Coturnix japonica: one gene and its partner. Each later gene encodes a partner of the first gene's protein in a complex. Links are inferred from orthologs where the notes say so. Each region holds a gene or a part of one and is shown in the gene's direction. Other genes may lie near its edges.

Region 1 (3,807 bases):
TGGGGGCCATGTACCCCAACATCATTCTGACTAACAGGTTGCAGGTGGGTAATATCAGGGCAGTCTCTGTTTTGTTGTCTCTTGTATTTGATCCCCTTGAACAGCAAGGGGTGAACTTTTGAGCTTAGGGCAGGGGGCATCAAATAAGGGTAGGGTTGAAACCAAGCGTCCTCTGATACCTGTGTGTCTCTTCCTTAGCCCTCAGCGATGGTGGATGAGGCCACGTGTGCTGCCTGTGACTTCAACAAGCCAGGGGCCAACTGCCAGCGCCGGATGACGTGGCAGTGGAGAGGAGAATTCAGTGAGTACAACGGATACCTCACTGTCCCACTCAGTGAGGCCGAGTGCACTAGAGACCTTGTTGTCCCATTGGATGATGCTGAGGCTGATTCCTGCTTCTCCTCTGTTGCCCTCCTTGCAGTGCCTGCGAGCCGCAGTGAGTATCACCGCATCCAGCAGCAGCTGGAGTCAGAAAAGTTCCCTCCACTGTTCCCTGATGGAGCACCACGTGCTTTCCACGAGCTCTCCCGAGAGGAACAAGCCAAGTATGAGAAGAAGCGGCTGGCAGGTAAGAGTTAATATCATGAGCTGAGGCACAAATCAATGCTGTTCAGCCAGAACCTCATGCAGTTCTGTCCACCCCCTCTGTGTGTCCACCTCCTCCATCCATGGTGGGCACCAACTGAGAAACAACCTGTTATGCCCTTGAGCAGATTACTGCCGCAAAGCCTACAAGAAGATCCACGTCACCAAGGTGGAGGAGAGGGTCACCACCATCTGCCAACGAGAGAACTCCTTCTATGTGGACACGGTGCGAGCTTTCAGGGACCGCCGCTATGAGTTCAAGGGGCTGCACAAGGTATTGGGCTGAGTCCTGCTTTCGTTGTCCTACTGGGGATGGGGAGTTCTCACCAACTGCTGTAAGCCTGAGCACTGAAGGATGGGTTTGTTCAGCCTTTGTACTGAGTAGGGAAATCATAGAATGGTTTGAGTTAGAAGGGACCTTTAAAGGCCATCATGTCCAACTCCTCTGCAATGAACAGGGCCACCTACAGCTGATCAGGTGCTCAGGGCCCGGCCCAACATGACCTTGGGTGTCTCCAAAGACGGGGCACCCACCACCTCTCCAACTTTGCCTGTTGCTCCCAGGTGTGGAAGAAGAAGCTGTCTGCAGCCATGGAGACAGGAGATGCCTCTGAAGTGAAACGCTGCAAGAACATGGAGATCCTCTACGACTCCCTGCAGCTGGCACACAAATGCATTCTCAATTCTTTCTATGGCTATGTCATGCGGAAAGGGTGAGTCTGAGCCGGCGTTGTTGCTGAGTCCTCCAGAGAACACCCAGGATTGTTTTGGGGAGGCTGCCACTTGCTTCACCTGTTTCCATAGCACAGGGATGGGTGATCCCTGGAACACTTCTCTCTTGCTTCTATTAATGGCTTCTGATCTTTGAGACCTGTAGTGTTGAGCAGCAAGGGGCGGCAGTCTTCTCTATCAGTGTTTTCTCAGATTCTCTAAAAAACCATTAAGAAGGAAAGGAAAGCAATCTACCAAGGCACAGTGCTGCCTTGTTCCTTGCTCTTCTCCTTCTGGATGCCTTCCTGCCCTTTCCCATAGCTGGCTGCAGGGTAGCACTGCATCCCCTTCACCTGGACTCCTCTGTTCCCAGAGCTCGATGGTACTCCATGGAAATGGCCGGGATCGTCTGCTTCACTGGGGCCAATATCATCACACAGGCCAGGGAACTGATTGAGCAGATTGGGTGAGTATGTGCTGAGCTGGGAAAGAAAGGTTCTTCTGCACACAGTGAGAGTGGGGTTTGAGTGTGGAGCATAGAACCAATGGGAGCATATTAGATGCTGAAAGTGTTTCGTGTTGAAGATTCAGATTGCTGGCATTGGTGGTTGTGGTTTTTCTGCTGCCTTACAAGGGCTCACTTTGCAGAAGGGACAGGATAGTGAAGCAAGAGGCTGTGTCCCCCATACAAGCAGCAGCAGAGCTGTTATATGGTATCAGCTTCTGATTTCCTGAGTGATCTTCCTTAGGAGACCTCTGGAACTGGATACAGATGGGATTTGGTGCGTCCTCCCCAACAGCTTCCCAGAAAACTTTGTCATCAAGTCAACCAATGCCAAGAAGCCAAAGGTGACAATCTCTTACCCAGGTGCTATGCTGAACATCCTGGTGAAGGTGAGTCTCACACCCATCCCAGCCAGCTCTGCAGTCTGGGGAAATGAATGGAGGACTGACAAGGAGAGAAAGTGTGGTATCTCCTGGTAGAACCAGCCCAGCTGTTGAGTCAGTCTGTTCTTTTGGGGCTGTGCCTGCAGGAAGGCTTCACAAATGATCAGTACCAGGAGCTGCAGGACCCAGCCTCTCTTACCTACATCACACGCTCAGAGAACAGCATCTTCTTTGAAGTGGATGGGCCATACCTGGCCATGATCCTCCCAGCTTCCAAGGAGGAGGGAAAGAAGCTGAAGAAAAGGTAGGACTCAAAGCTTGAAATATAGGAAAGCGATTGTCATCAAATACCACTGACTTTTCCACAGCAACCTGTGTAGGAACACCAGCAATGTCCAGCTATGGAGGTGCCTGTGGACCTGGGTCTGAACTCAGAAAAGCCATTTCCATCCTCCAGGACCCTCTGTCCTTAAAATGCTCAGCCTGGCTGTGCTCTCTGCACATCAGACAAGTTCTAACGTCTGCCATCCCCTGTCAGTGCCTTTCCATGCCATGTCTGTGCCATAGGAATGAAACTGATGCCAAGCACTGAATGGATGCTGTACACAGGGCCCCTTCCTCAGGGCCTCCTTATTCCCTGTGGTTTCTGGGTGTTGTCGGCAAAGGAGTTTATTCCTTGGTTGTGCTCAAATGGAAATAACCTGAAGCTTACTGGTAGGCACCATCAATGGTGGAGGAAGAGAAGGCTGCATCCATACTGATGAGTTGGGCAGTCAAAGTAACGTGGGCTTGAGTATCATTGCTATTCTGTTAGCTGAGTGTTCTGTAAGATTTATCTTGAGACATGCATACAAATAAAGGGTAGGGATAAGCAAAGAAAGGGAGGAGGGTAGCGTATTCTTATAACCTCATCAGTAGCTACATCCAGCTTCCTCTGAATCATTTCACTAAGCTTACGAACCTTCCTTCTTTTCTCTAAAGCTCTTCCTGATATCTCCCCCTGCATCTCCCCCACCTTACCCTGTCTCACCTCCTGGCCTTTACTGATGTGCAGTTTGGAACATTCCCCCACTTGGTACTGATGGACTGGGGCACAAACTGTTGTGCTTTCACAGCCCAAAATGAAACAATCCATGTACCCCAGGTATGCAGTGTTCAATGAAGATGGGTCCCTGGCTGAGCTGAAGGGCTTTGAGGTGAAGCGCCGAGGTGAGCTGCAGCTGGTGAAGATATTCCAGTCTTCTGTATTCGAGGCCTTCCTCAAAGGCACCACCCTGGAGGAGGTCTATGCTTCTGTGGCCAAGGTGGCTGACTACTGGCTGGATGTACTGTACAGCAAGGTACACATTGCTTTGCAGGTTGGCTGCCCCCTGCATCCCTAAAGTGGTGTAAAAGAAGGTGTAAGAGCTGGTTGGATGCTGCGATGTTAAATCACCAAACTCTTGCTGTGTATTTGTTCCCCCCTGCCTTCAGGCTGCCAACATGCCCGATTCGGAGCTGTTTGAGCTCATCTCAGAGAACCGTTCCATGTCTCGCAAGCTGGAGGACTATGGGGAGCAGAAATCCACCTCCATCAGCACTGCCAAGCGCCTGGCAGAGTTCCTGGGGGACCAGATGGTGAAG
Region 2 (3,705 bases), on another chromosome or scaffold:
GAGAGGCGGCGGATCTGCCCCAATTCTGTGACCGGAGCGTTTCCTGCCGCTCACCCCGCGATGGGGGCACGGAACTGGGGCGCGCGGCCGCAGCGCGGGGCTGTGCCACGATCCCGGCTCGGATCCGCGCAGGGCGAGCTGCGCTTCTCCCCTCCGGCTCCTCTCCCCACCCAACCTCTCCCTCTCCCCCTTACCCCCCCCCCCCATCGCGTCTCTCTCTCTTTAGTTCTCCTCCTCCCGGGATTTCGGTTCGTTTTGCTCTTGCATCACTTTGTTTTCTTTCACAACAGAACGGCCGGAGCGCAGAGAATCCAGCGCGACATTTTCAGCCGCGGGATCTCAAATGTGGGGCATTAAATAATGTGAAATTGGTGTTAAAAAGGGGCAGGTGCCCCCTGGTCCCGGGGCAGAACCCACGGGGGCTCAGCAGCGCACGTTGCCCACGTTCTGCACGGACGGCAGCGAAAAAACGGTGGAAAATGGGATTTGTGCTCGGAGGGCACCGAGGGCTCCAGCTGGGACCCGTCCCGGTGTTTGTGGCCGCTCCGTGAGCCGGGACGCGGAGCTGCCCGCGATGGCGCCGTCGGGGCAACGGCGCCGCTGTCACTGCGACCTGAGCAGCGTCTGGCACCGCGATGCTTTGTCCTGTCTGAGCCCACCCGGTGCTGACCCATCCCGGGAGCTGCTCGGGGGGCTCCGGAGCTGCCACTGCCCCCAGCCCGGTGCGGCTGTGACGATGTGCGGGTGCGGGTCGGACCATTCGCGCTCACCATTTCCCATCCACGGACGCGTCCTATGGGCTCTCCTCCCTCCTGAGAACCGTGCGGGCCGTCCGAGCCGAAGGAGCCGAAGGAGCCGAAGGAGTTGAAGGAGCTGAAGGGGCTGAAGGGGCTGCAGGAGCTGCAGGAGCTGCAGGAGCTCAGCCCGCCCGGCACTGAAAGCAGAAGCTGTTTCCTAACGTTGTGTTGGTGCGGGGCTGCGCGCAACGCCAGGAAGCGGCTGCGGCCTGAATGTGAGAGTGGGGGGGGGGGGAGGAGATGCTGCTGCCCCGTCCAGGAACCGACGTGGGCTCAGGGAGCGACCCCGGGCCGCAGCATCGGCACAGGAGGGATCGGGCCGGGGGGGAACGGGCTGAGCGGAGCCCCGTCCGTGTCCGTGGGTGATGGGGGGTTATGGGGACTGCGGGGCTGCGTTTGGGGCACAGGGGGGCGGAGAGCCGAATTTGGGGCACAGAGCGGAAGTTTGGGGCACAGCGGGGCCGGAGGGCGGGATGTGGGGCACAGAGCGGGTGGGGGGCGAGTTCGGGGGCGGCGGGAGGACGGAGAACCCGGCCGGGGATGCGGGAGGGGCCCGGTCCCGTGCGGGGCGCCCGGCTCCGCGGCACAGACAGACACAGCGCCCCCCAGCGGCACAGACAGACACAGCGCCCCCCAGCGGCACAGACAGACACAGCGCCCCCCAGCGGCACAGAGACACAGCGCCCCCCAGCGGCACAGAGACACAGCGCCCCCCAGCGGCACACAGCGATGACAGCCGGCGCTCCGCTCCGCCCCGCAGGCAGCACTCACTGCGCATGCGCGTTGCGGGATGGCGGCGGCGGCGGGGCCGGAGGCGGCGGCGGAAGATGCGGGAGGAGCGGGACCGGGAGCGGGACCCGGAGCGGCGCGTGGTGCCAGGCTGCCGCTGTCACGGGTGAAGGCGCTGGTGAAGGCGGACCCGGACGTCAGCCTGGCCAGCCACGAGGCCGTGTTCGTGCTGGCGCGGGCCGCGGTGAGCGGCGGGGGCGGGCGGGGCAACGCGGGGCAGTGCGGGGTAATGCGGGGCAGCCTCCGGTCCGTGCCGTTCTGTCCCGGTCTGTCCCGTTCCGTCCCGTTCCGTCCGTGTGACGCTCGTGCTCGCCCCGCAGGAGCTGTTCGTGGAGAACATCGCTAAGGACGCGTTTGTGTTCGCCCAGCAGGGGAAGAGGAAAACGCTGCAGAGGAAGGACCTGGGTACGGGGCGGAACCGGGGGGGGGGGTCCGAAGAGAAGAGAAACGTCCCAGCTCTTCCCGGTTGGCCCTTCTGTCTGTGTCGGCACTGAGCCCTTTTCCCTTTGCAGATAACGCCATTGAGGCTGTTGATGAGTTCGCTTTTCTGGAGGGTGAGTTTCGGTTTCCCCCATTAGTCCATAATCCCTTTCAAAGCAGCCCCGCATCCTCCTATATCCCTCCTATATCCCTCCTATATCCCTCCTATATCCTTCCTGTATCCCTCCTGCAGCCCCATGGTCTCACTATCTGGGTCTGTATCTGGGCCTTCCAGCCCCACACCCCACTTATAGCCCCCCCTATAACCCTACAGCCTCCTATAGCCCCCCCCACTGCTCCCTGTAGCCACATATTCCTCTATATCCCTGGTACAGCCCCCCATAGCCCCATGCCCCCCTGTTTCCCCCCCATACTCCCTTTATCTGGGCCTTTTAGCCCCACATCCCCATATAGCCCCCTCCATAGACCCACAGCTCCCTATAAACCCGAGTTCCAGCTGTTCTTGTAGCTGTGTTTCATTTTCCTTTCTGGTCCCTGAGGCTGCTTTGCTTCATCGTTGTTTTTGTTTCCAGGCACTTTGGACTGAGCTGCTCAGCAATGGGGTTCTGTGCAGATGGGTCGGCCGGCACCGGCTGCACTTCCCAGCAGTGGGACACCAATGTGGGCAGCCGCGGTGCTTTGTGTAACGACTGAGTGTCTGTAAGATCTTTGTTGAAAGCTTTTGTTGTAAGTATTTTGTAGGACTCTGACCTCCTTGTTCTGCTGCTGCTCCCCAGCCCTGCCCCCCCCCCAGGCACCATGGAGCAGAGCTGAGCTCCCGAGGCAGCTCCCTGTTGGTTTATCCCACCTGCTGGTCTGTAGATACATTATTGAAGTGGATGTTTTGGTCTCTGTGTGTTTTGTTGGGTTCCTTTTTGGCCAGTGCAATTAAAGGCGGAGCTGTTTTGAGTGGCTGTTCTGAGTGATGCTGCTCTGTGCTGCTCTGCTGTTCCTGTGGCACAGATGCAGTTTGGAAGGGATGCTCCGCTCCAGGCACACAGATGAGCTGCAGAGAGGCTCGTGTTGCTGTTAGGGCTGCATGGCTCCATCAAGTTCTGCGATGGTCACAGCTGGACAGTAATAAATCCCTGCTTTTGAAGGCGTTGCCTGCCGTGTTTCACTGCTCTTCTCCTTTGCTCTCATTGCTGAACCTGGCCCTTCTCCTGTGCGTGGATCTGCTGGGCTGTGCTGCAGCCCTCCCTGCCCTTGCCAAAGCACAGCGTGTGGCCCATGAGCTGTCCTGCTTTGGGCAGAGCTGCACGGTGCCTTCCTTGCCAGCAGGTTCCTTTTGCTGCCCTCGGGGCTGATTCAGGCCCATTGAGCACAGGGCCCATAGGGGTGCCTGGTTTTGTGTCTGATCTCTCCCTGCTGTGCTTTGCTGGGCAGCATCGCCTGCTCACAGCAGGTCAATCAGGGTTTGTCTTTGGGCTGAGCCCACGAGCAGAGGCTCAGGGATGCTGTGGGGTGTCCTGACAGGACAAAATGGGTCCCTTTGTTCACCGTGGGTCTGTGGCCTTTGGGAGCAGCTCTGGATTCAGTTACACATGCAGCTGTAAAGTGTTGGCCACTAAAGTGGTGCCAAAGTCACTTAGAGATGAGAACTGCAGCCTCAGTTGTCCCAGACAGAGCAAAACCTGCT

What was found.
Region 2: POLE (region 1) and POLE4 share a complex: the UniProt entries of both Homo sapiens proteins name them as parts of the DNA polymerase epsilon complex. The link is inferred for Coturnix japonica from reciprocal best matches to the Homo sapiens genes POLE and POLE4.

Annotation. Positions count from the first base shown.
Region 1 is NC_029530.1:8,898,150-8,901,956, reverse strand, and holds part of POLE (DNA polymerase epsilon catalytic subunit A), read left to right. Parts: coding exon 1-44; intron 45-198; coding exon 199-301; intron 302-421; coding exon 422-568; intron 569-713; coding exon 714-859; intron 860-1,149; coding exon 1,150-1,298; intron 1,299-1,669; coding exon 1,670-1,762; intron 1,763-2,045; coding exon 2,046-2,190; intron 2,191-2,330; coding exon 2,331-2,488; intron 2,489-3,328; coding exon 3,329-3,524; intron 3,525-3,657; coding exon 3,658-3,807. UniProt on the Homo sapiens protein: Catalytic component of the DNA polymerase epsilon complex. Participates in chromosomal DNA replication.
Region 2 is NC_029543.1:373,703-377,407, reverse strand, and holds POLE4 (DNA polymerase epsilon subunit 4), read left to right. Parts: upstream 1-1,570; 5' UTR 1,571-1,587; coding exon 1,588-1,770; intron 1,771-1,906; coding exon 1,907-1,991; intron 1,992-2,098; coding exon 2,099-2,140; intron 2,141-2,599; coding exon 2,600-2,613; 3' UTR 2,614-3,165; downstream 3,166-3,705. Other genes in the region: PRAM1 (PML-RARA-regulated adapter molecule 1), read right to left, coding at 771-773. UniProt on the Homo sapiens protein: Accessory component of the DNA polymerase epsilon complex. Participates in DNA repair and in chromosomal DNA replication.